2 linked regions of the Callithrix jacchus genome follow. The protein of the gene in region 1 binds, or shares a complex with, the protein of each later gene. Links are inferred from orthologs where the notes say so. Each region holds a gene or a part of one and is shown in the gene's direction. Other genes may lie near its edges.

Region 1 (4,055 bases):
TGCTGCTCGGCGCACGGAAGAGCCTGTCCCCAAGCCGCGCCAGCCGAGCCAGCCGGGCGCCGTGCTCGGTCCGCTCGCCGCGCGGGAGAGAGCTGCCCGAGACAGAGCCAGCCCGTCGGCGCCGAGCCGCCGAGCGCCGGGCCCCAGAGCCCCTGAGTGCGGCGCGGCGAGCCCTTGGCGGCGGCAGAAGGACCCGAGCGCCAGGAGAGGGCGGACGGGGGACAAGGAGGCTCCCGGGCGCGACGAGGAGAGTCTCGGAGGAGGAGGCGCCGAGAGAACACCGGGGCCTCCTGCCGCCGCAGCTGGGTCGAGGCGAGCAGCCCACGCGGGGAGCCCCGGCGACCAACCGCGGCCAGGGGAAGGGACACCGGCGGCCCCCGCATTAGCAAGCAGCTTGTGCCCAGGGGGGCAAGAACGCGCTACCCGCCTGGGGCCCGCCGCCGCCGCCGCGCCGCCCTCCCCTGTGCTGTCAGCCCCACCGGGCTCAGCCGCCGCCGCAGCATCTTCTGTCCCTGCGCCCCCGCCAGCCTCGAGGAAGTCCCCGCTGAGGACCTGAGCCCCCAGGCGCGCAGGAGGGAAGACCAGAGACTCCCCTAAACCACCCAGATGCGCAGGATTGAATCGGTCTAGTCAAAGCTTTCTGTGGATTAAAAAAATACACGATTTTTTTTTTGTTTTTGGCAGAAGAAAAGGAGAGGAAGACCAGCGGGGCTCTGCAAGGAAAAAAGGGGGGTTGTAACTCGTGGATGCGTTTTCCCACCCCCCAAACATCTTGTTATACTTCGTAAACATTTTTTTTTTAAGCCCCAGCTCCAGCCGGACGCCCCCAGACCTCCAAGGTTCGAGGAGGTGGTGTTTTTCATTTGGGGCTTTGCATATTTTGGTTGTTAGGTTTTGAGAGAACCTTCTTATTTCGCCAGACGTCTCATGCGGGGTGAAGTCCACTCGGCCCCCTCCCCTCAGCCTTCGTGTGCACGAAATTCGAGGAGATCCGGTTACTAAGGATATAGAGGAAAAAAATAAATCGCGTGCTTGCTTTTTTTTTTTTTTAATTGCCTGCTTCTCCCCACCCCCAAATTAAGTTGCTTAGCAAGGGGGAAAGAGGCTTTTTCCTTCTTCCAGCAGCCCAGCCGAACGCCTTTCGTTTTTTGCCCCCGCGGATCTTCCATGTAGGAAGCCGAGGCTGGCGAGTCCGACATTCGGGAGCCACTGCGGGGGGGGCTGTTTTTGGGGAGGCGCCGACGGGGGCAGGCTCGGCCGTCCCCAGGGAAGCGGCGGCCGGGTTCCTCCGGGGCGCGCCGGGGCCCGAGAGCCGCGCAGGGCGCGGGCCGCGCGGGGTGGGGCAGCCGGAGCGCAGGCCCCCGATCCCCGGCGGGCGCCCCCGGGCCCCCGCGCGCGCCCCGGCCTCCGGGAGACTGGCGCATGCCACGGAGCGCCCCTCGGGCCGCCGCCGCTACTGCCCGGGCCCCTGCTGCTGCTGCTGTCGCCTGCGCCTGCTGCCCCAACTCGGCGCCCGACTTCTTCATGGTGTGCGGAGGTCATGTTCGCTCCTTAGCCGGCAAACGACTTTTCTCCTCGCCTCCTCGCCCCGCATGTTCAGGACCAAACGATCTGCGCTCGTCCGGCGTCTCTGGAGGAGCCGTGCGCCCGGCGGCGAGGACGAGGAGGAGGGCGCGGGGGGAGGCGGAGGAGGAGGCGAGCTGCGGGGAGAAGGGGCGACGGACAGTCGAGCTCATGGGGCTGGTGGCGGTGGCGCGGGCAGGGCTGGATGCTGCCTGGGCAAGGCGGTCCGAGGTGCCAAAGGTCACCACCATCCCCACCCCCCAGCCGCGGGCGCCGGCGCGGCCGGGGGCGCAGAGGCTGATCTGAAGGCGCTCACGCACTCGGTGCTCAAGAAACTGAAGGAGCGGCAGCTGGAGTTGCTGCTCCAGGCCGTGGAGTCCCGCGGCGGGACGCGCACCGCGTGCCTCCTGCTGCCTGGCCGACTGGACTGCAGGCTGGGCCCGGGGGCGCCCGCCAGCGCGCAGCCTGCGCAGCCGCCCTCGTCCTACTCGCTCCCCCTCCTGCTGTGCAAAGTGTTCAGGTGGCCGGATCTCAGGCATTCCTCGGAAGTCAAGAGGCTGTGTTGCTGTGAATCTTACGGGAAGATCAACCCCGAGCTGGTGTGCTGCAACCCCCATCACCTTAGCCGACTCTGCGAACTAGGTAAGAAGTTGCCCGGCCACCCCCAATATTTTCCAGCGCGCCAGTGCTGGAAGAAAAGCCCCTAGGGCAGTGCGTGTGCCGCCACCCCTTCAGGGGGAGTGTACAGCCCCTCCTGGGAGGAGACTTGGTGGGGAAAGTAGAGAAGGGACACGAGGAAACTCAAAGGGCATTCCCTGGGGGTTCCCTGTCAGGTTTTCTCCTGTGTTGCCCCGAAAGGGTCTGTGGGCACTGCTCCTGCACACAGTGTACCAGACGTGCGGTTAAAAATTAGACGCCTTCATTTCCGGATCAACAAGGGGGTGCAGAGGGAGGTGGGGGTCACGCCTCCCCGCACCCGGAAAGGCGTTAAGGTGTGTGGCCGAGTTGGATTTGGTCCAAGCCCGCCAAGGAAGGTTGGGAGAAGCGAGCTGTAAAGGCTGGAAGGACTCCGCTCCTTTAGTAAATACGGAGAATCACTCGAACACAAGTGGCTCAGATACTACTGTGGCCGTGCAGCCTTGGACTTTTGGGGCAAAGAGGGTTAGGATGGAAGGCCGAACTGGGTATCTCCTTTCAACTCTGCCAGTTCCAGGGTGCTGAGGAACAAACAGCCAGGAGAAGTTGGGTGTCCCCTACTTTTTCCTTTCTTCCGCACAGAGAAGTCTATAGATAGTCGGCCCCCGGCGCCTCGGTGACGTTGTCTCCGCTTATTGCGCTGGGGCCTGGACTTCTCGGCTGAGATCCTGAAACTCCTTCGCTTTTATCCTCTCTGCTTTGTCCGTTCCTTCCTTTGCTCTGTATTTCTGTACACGGAGTGTGTTGTGAGGGTTCACCCCGGGTGTCCGCAGATCCCCCAAGTTCACCAGCACGCTTGGGATGCATCTCCCTAGTGCGCTGGGAATGGGGAGCCCCCGTGTCCCCCGCGCGGGTGCCCAGAGGACCAGCGGGGGCAGAGGTGAATTGCACCCCTGGGGGCCGGGCTGGGGCGGGGAGCCGGTGTTGTTGGGAACTGGGGCTGGAGTCTGCGGACGAGGAGGGGGCACGGTCGCCCCCCGCCCTGTGAACTGTGAAGTGCGCGGCCCCGGCTGAGCCGGTGGTTTCCAGCCGGGCCAGCCGAGCGCGGCGGCGGCGGCCGCAGACGTGGAGGAGCGGAGAGCCGAGGCTGGCGCCAGGCGGCCTCTTTTGTTTATCTGACAGCTAAATATCAAGGCAATCACCGCCTTGCGGCCCTGCCTCCAACCCCCACAGCTAAGACAAACAGTTGGGCTAAAAGAATGCCTCTGTTATCATAAGTTTCTATCTCTTTTTCTCATGGCTGGGCCTTTATTTTTCTCTTGCTTTTTTAATTTCAGAGTCTCCCCCTCCTCCTTACTCCAGATACCCGATGGATTTTCTCAAACCAACTGGTGAGTAGCTGATTTTTAAAAAACCCTTCGGATCGAAGTTAGAAATAGAGCCTGTAGAACCTGGGCTTCTACGTGTAGGCAAAGGCCTGGGAAGGAAGGCGCTAGGCTTGCTTCAGGTCGGTTCTAGGTTTCCTCTGTTGGAAGTTTGGTGAATTTTCCTGTTGTGACTGGCTTTTTGTTTTGTTTTTTCTTTGCAAAGACCTTTTCTTGATATGCTTTACGTTTTGTTCCTTTTTCATGTATTTGCACTCTGTGGCTGGGGGACTCGGCTTTAACACGTGGATGCTTTTAGTTCAGAAAGAAGTATTTTGGGAACCAAATAGGACTGGTTGGTGGGGAAAGCTTGGAGACTTCGTGAGTGCCGGAGCATCTGGAAAGGGTGATTAGATGGATGGGAAGACATTTTTAAAAGGTGCAAAGAATACTTTGGTCTGGAGTAGACACTAGAACATTTCAGTAGAGGCT
Region 2 (3,500 bases), on another chromosome or scaffold:
TGCTCATGGGCTGGGTGTGGTGACTCATGCCTGTAATCTCAGCACTTTGGGAGGCCAAGGCAGGCAGATCACCTGAGGTCAGGAGCTCGAGACCAGCCTGGCCAACATGGTGAAACCCCATTTCTACTAAAAATACAAAAATTAGCCAGGCATAATGGCAGATGCCTGTAAGCCCAGCTACTAGGTAGGCTGAGGTAGAAGAACTGCTTAAACCCAGGAGGCAGAGGTTGCAGTGAGCCAGGATTGCACCACTGTACTCCAGCCTGGGCGAAGTGAGACCCTGTCTCAAACCAAAACAAAACCTGCCTATGGAGGAAAATCCACTTGGTGTTGCATCCAACTTGTGAGTTTTTCTTCCAGGTTGTATGTAAACTGGAGGTTTATGAGAGGAATTGAAGCCCAGTTCTTAGCTCTGCAGAAGGGGTTCAATGAACTCATCCCTCAACACTTGCTGAAGCCTTTTGACCAGAAGGAACTGGAGGTACGTGCCTGCTGTGTGGAGTCCACCCAGGGCGCTCAGGGGCTCCCCCTGTGGCTGGCATCGTCTGCCTGTTTTAAATCCTTGATGCAGGGTGTGGCATGCACTGTTTTCTAGAAAGCCCAGGAGCTGTTGGGGTTCCCAGAACAGTCAGCTGGAGCAACAGTGGGGAGTAGAGGGTGTTTACGTCAGTTGGTAACCAGTGAGATGTCTGCATGGTGGTTGGAAATCTGAATAATTCCCGGGACGCTGTTCAAGGTGGTTGTGGCTTCTCTCGTTTTCAGGATCTCTAGCAGGGAGATCACGCGGCCCTCTCCTTTCCTGGGAGAACCTGGTTCTCCCACAACTTACTGCCTTTTATTCGGGCTGTTACTAGACTAAGAACAAGGGGATACTGTCTCTCCAGTCCTACTCACGCGCTTGAACATAGTGACTCATTCATCCCTTACCATCTCTGGTGCGAAACAGCTCAAGCCTTGTAGATTGTTCTCCGAGTCTTTCTACTGCCAGTGAGGAGAGCCTGGGAGCCAAGAGCTTGGATGGGGCAGTAGTTCTGGGGTGAACTTTTGTGTCTTTTTTTTTTTTTTTTTAAAGACAGAGTCTTGCTCTGTTGCCCAGGCTGGAGTGCAGTGGTGCAATCATGGGTCACTGTAGCCTTGACCTCCCAGGCTGAAGCGATCCTACCACTGCAGTCCCCTGAGTAGCTGAGGCTATAGGTGCATGTCACCATGCTTGGCTAATTTTTGTATTTGTTGTAGAGAAAGGGTTTTGCCATGTTGCCCAAGCTGGCCTTGAACTCCTGGGCTCAAGCGATCCACCCAACTTCAGCCCCTACAAAGTGCTGGGAATATAGTGGCGTGAGCCACTGCACCCAGCAGGGGGTACTTTTAAGCAAGTTGCAGAAACGCGTCCCATCTACCCTAGCCCCACGTAACTCTTGCTGAATTCTCCTTTCTTCAGACTTGAAACTCCACATGTCCTTGAGTGTCCTGGAGAGACCCCGGGACATGCTCTTACTCATGGTTAGCTCTGTTCAGTGAACTGGGTGGTTCTTTGAGACTCACTCCTCACCGATGCAGAGCAGAAACCCTGCTTTGGTTATAAGATGATGCCCCATCAGTAGCTGTGCACCGTGGTCTTGGGGTTGGAGGAGGCAGAGGGAGGCATGTCCCACAGGTCTCCTGTTCGTTGCTTTCTTCCTGTCTCAACTACTGTCTAGTTTTTCTTTGGACACAGCCGCTGCTTTGTTTGGGAACCGACTTTTCACTTGTGTGTGTGTTGGGTACCTCGGAGGCGTGTCCTGACGTGGGTTTATACATTTTGGGAGTAACTCATCTTTCGGCACCTCCTCAGCTGATCATAGGCGGCCTGGATAAAATAGACCTGAACGACTGGAAGTCGAACACGCGGCTAAAGCACTGTGTGGCTGACAGCAACATCGTCCGGTGGTTCTGGCAAGCGGTGGAGACGTTTGATGAAGAAAGGAGGGCCAGGCTGTTGCAGTTTGTGACTGGGTCCACGCGAGTCCCGCTCCAAGGCTTCAAGGCTTTGCAAGGTGACTGATGGGGAGGCGGGGCTATTTGATATACGTCTCTGCGGGCTGTGGGCAGGAAGAGTGAAGGTGGCTGGGATGTTTTTCCGAGATGTGTGCTAGAACACAGCATAAGGAGTGTTCTCCAGTAATGAATGCTCTGCGCTGCAGAGGTGGCCACCTGGCAGGGGCCGTGTGTAAGCAAAGACTGCAGAGCCACTCTCGGGCACGGGGGTTCCCCCTCTTCACTGCTTCCAAAAAGCCAAGAGGGTCTGGCCAGCAGGGGTCTTTGAAGTGTTTGGGAGGCCTTGCACTTTCCAACTCTGTGAGCCCAGCTTAGCCAAGACCCTGGATAAGGAGCTGTGGGGGAACCACCCCAGTCTCAGTGGCTCCGAAGCTTGACGCTGCACATGAACCCCTACTTAGCCACAACACACCGAAAGGTGCCGTGATGCTCCCTCTGCGTAAGCCACTCAGGTTGCTGGAAGTGGGGGGCGGAATTCAGTGGCGGAGGTGCCGATCTCCCTGCAGGTCATCTTTTACACTTAACGGCTTGGGGGGGATGCTGCTGGAAGGAGTGAGGTGAAGGGTGTCACCGTACTGAAATTTAGCTGGACTGTAAATGCTGATAGACATACAGACACACTGTGAAGACAGAATATTCCGTCTGAATTGCTGGCTCAAAGGAGGTCATCAGGGCACCTGCCTCTTTTCCATCATGACCTCCGCCTATGGATTTGCTGCCAGGGGCCCAGCATGAATAAAAAGGGGTTGGAGGCTGAGACCCGCTTGTATCTGGGAGCCTCCATCTGCTTGACCAGCTTGACCATGACAGCTGCTCCCAGAGCTTGGAGCCTGTTATTTACAAAGCCTTTTTCCTTCAGTTCTCCCAACAACAACCCGGAGAGCCTGGTTGAGCGGGGATTAGCCCCATTCCATGGAAGAGGAAGCTGTGACTCACTGAGGTCACGGGATTTATTTTCCCTCCAATGGGGAAAAAGAAACATGGAAGGTGTGAGCGGTGTGCCAGGGCAGGAATCCAGGCTTGGTGACCATGCCACCATCGTCTTGCCCGTAGCAGGCCCACGTGCTAAACTTTCCTGCTTAGAGAGAATCTCTGTCATTATAAGGGTCTCATCAGTCCCCTAATCAGGTGGACTTTAGGCCAGTGTCCCTGAAGTGTCTAGAAGGTGGGTCAGAGGTGACCAGGGCTCACCTGACAGGGTCACAGTCCAGTACCAGAGTGCTGGTGCTGAGAGAAGGGAATGACTGGTAGCAGGGCCAGGCAGAGTGGCCAGGGCCCTGCAGGAGGTCTCTGAGGCCCTCACTGGGGCATGTCTGGTCCAGCCTGTCCTGACTCCCCAGGAGATCAGGGTGGGAGGGTGTGGACTGTGAGGGAGAGGAGCTAGCTTCCTGCCCCAGGTTCCCCAGGAACCAGGGGGGTGCATTCCAAGACCCTCTGCCCAACATAAAGATGGGATCTCCACTTGT

Evidence for each region. Proteins that work in one complex are often made in the same cells at the same time.
Region 2: the proteins of SMAD7 (region 1) and SMURF1 are in contact, whole or in part, in an NMR structure (PDB 2LTX), measured with the Homo sapiens proteins. The link is inferred for Callithrix jacchus from reciprocal best matches to the Homo sapiens genes SMAD7 and SMURF1. Residues at the interface, in NP_005895.1 of Homo sapiens: Glu203, Glu205, Ser206, Pro207, Pro208, Pro209, Pro210, Tyr211, Ser212, Arg213, Tyr214, Pro215, Asp217; in NP_065162.1 of Homo sapiens: Glu313, Arg315, Ser316, Thr317, Arg321, Tyr323, Val325, Asp326, His327, Arg330, Thr331, Thr332, Phe334, Thr335.

The regions. Positions count from the first base shown.
Region 1 is NC_133514.1:92,053,799-92,057,853, reverse strand, and holds the start of SMAD7 (mothers against decapentaplegic homolog 7), read left to right. Parts: upstream 1-1,255; 5' UTR 1,256-1,592; coding exon 1,593-2,205; intron 2,206-2,600; exon of another isoform or gene 2,601-3,060; coding exon of another isoform or gene 3,061-3,139; intron 3,140-3,536; coding exon 3,537-3,590; intron 3,591-4,055. Other genes in the region: uncharacterized protein LOC118146891, read left to right, coding at 1-556. UniProt on the Homo sapiens protein: Antagonist of signaling by TGF-beta (transforming growth factor) type 1 receptor superfamily members; has been shown to inhibit TGF-beta (Transforming growth factor) and activin signaling by associating with their receptors thus preventing SMAD2 access.
Region 2 is NC_133503.1:14,565,510-14,569,009, forward strand, and holds part of SMURF1 (E3 ubiquitin-protein ligase SMURF1), read left to right. Parts: intron 1-360; coding exon 361-481; intron 482-1,831; coding exon 1,832-2,033; intron 2,034-3,500. UniProt on the Homo sapiens protein: E3 ubiquitin-protein ligase that acts as a negative regulator of BMP signaling pathway. Mediates ubiquitination and degradation of SMAD1 and SMAD5, 2 receptor-regulated SMADs specific for the BMP pathway.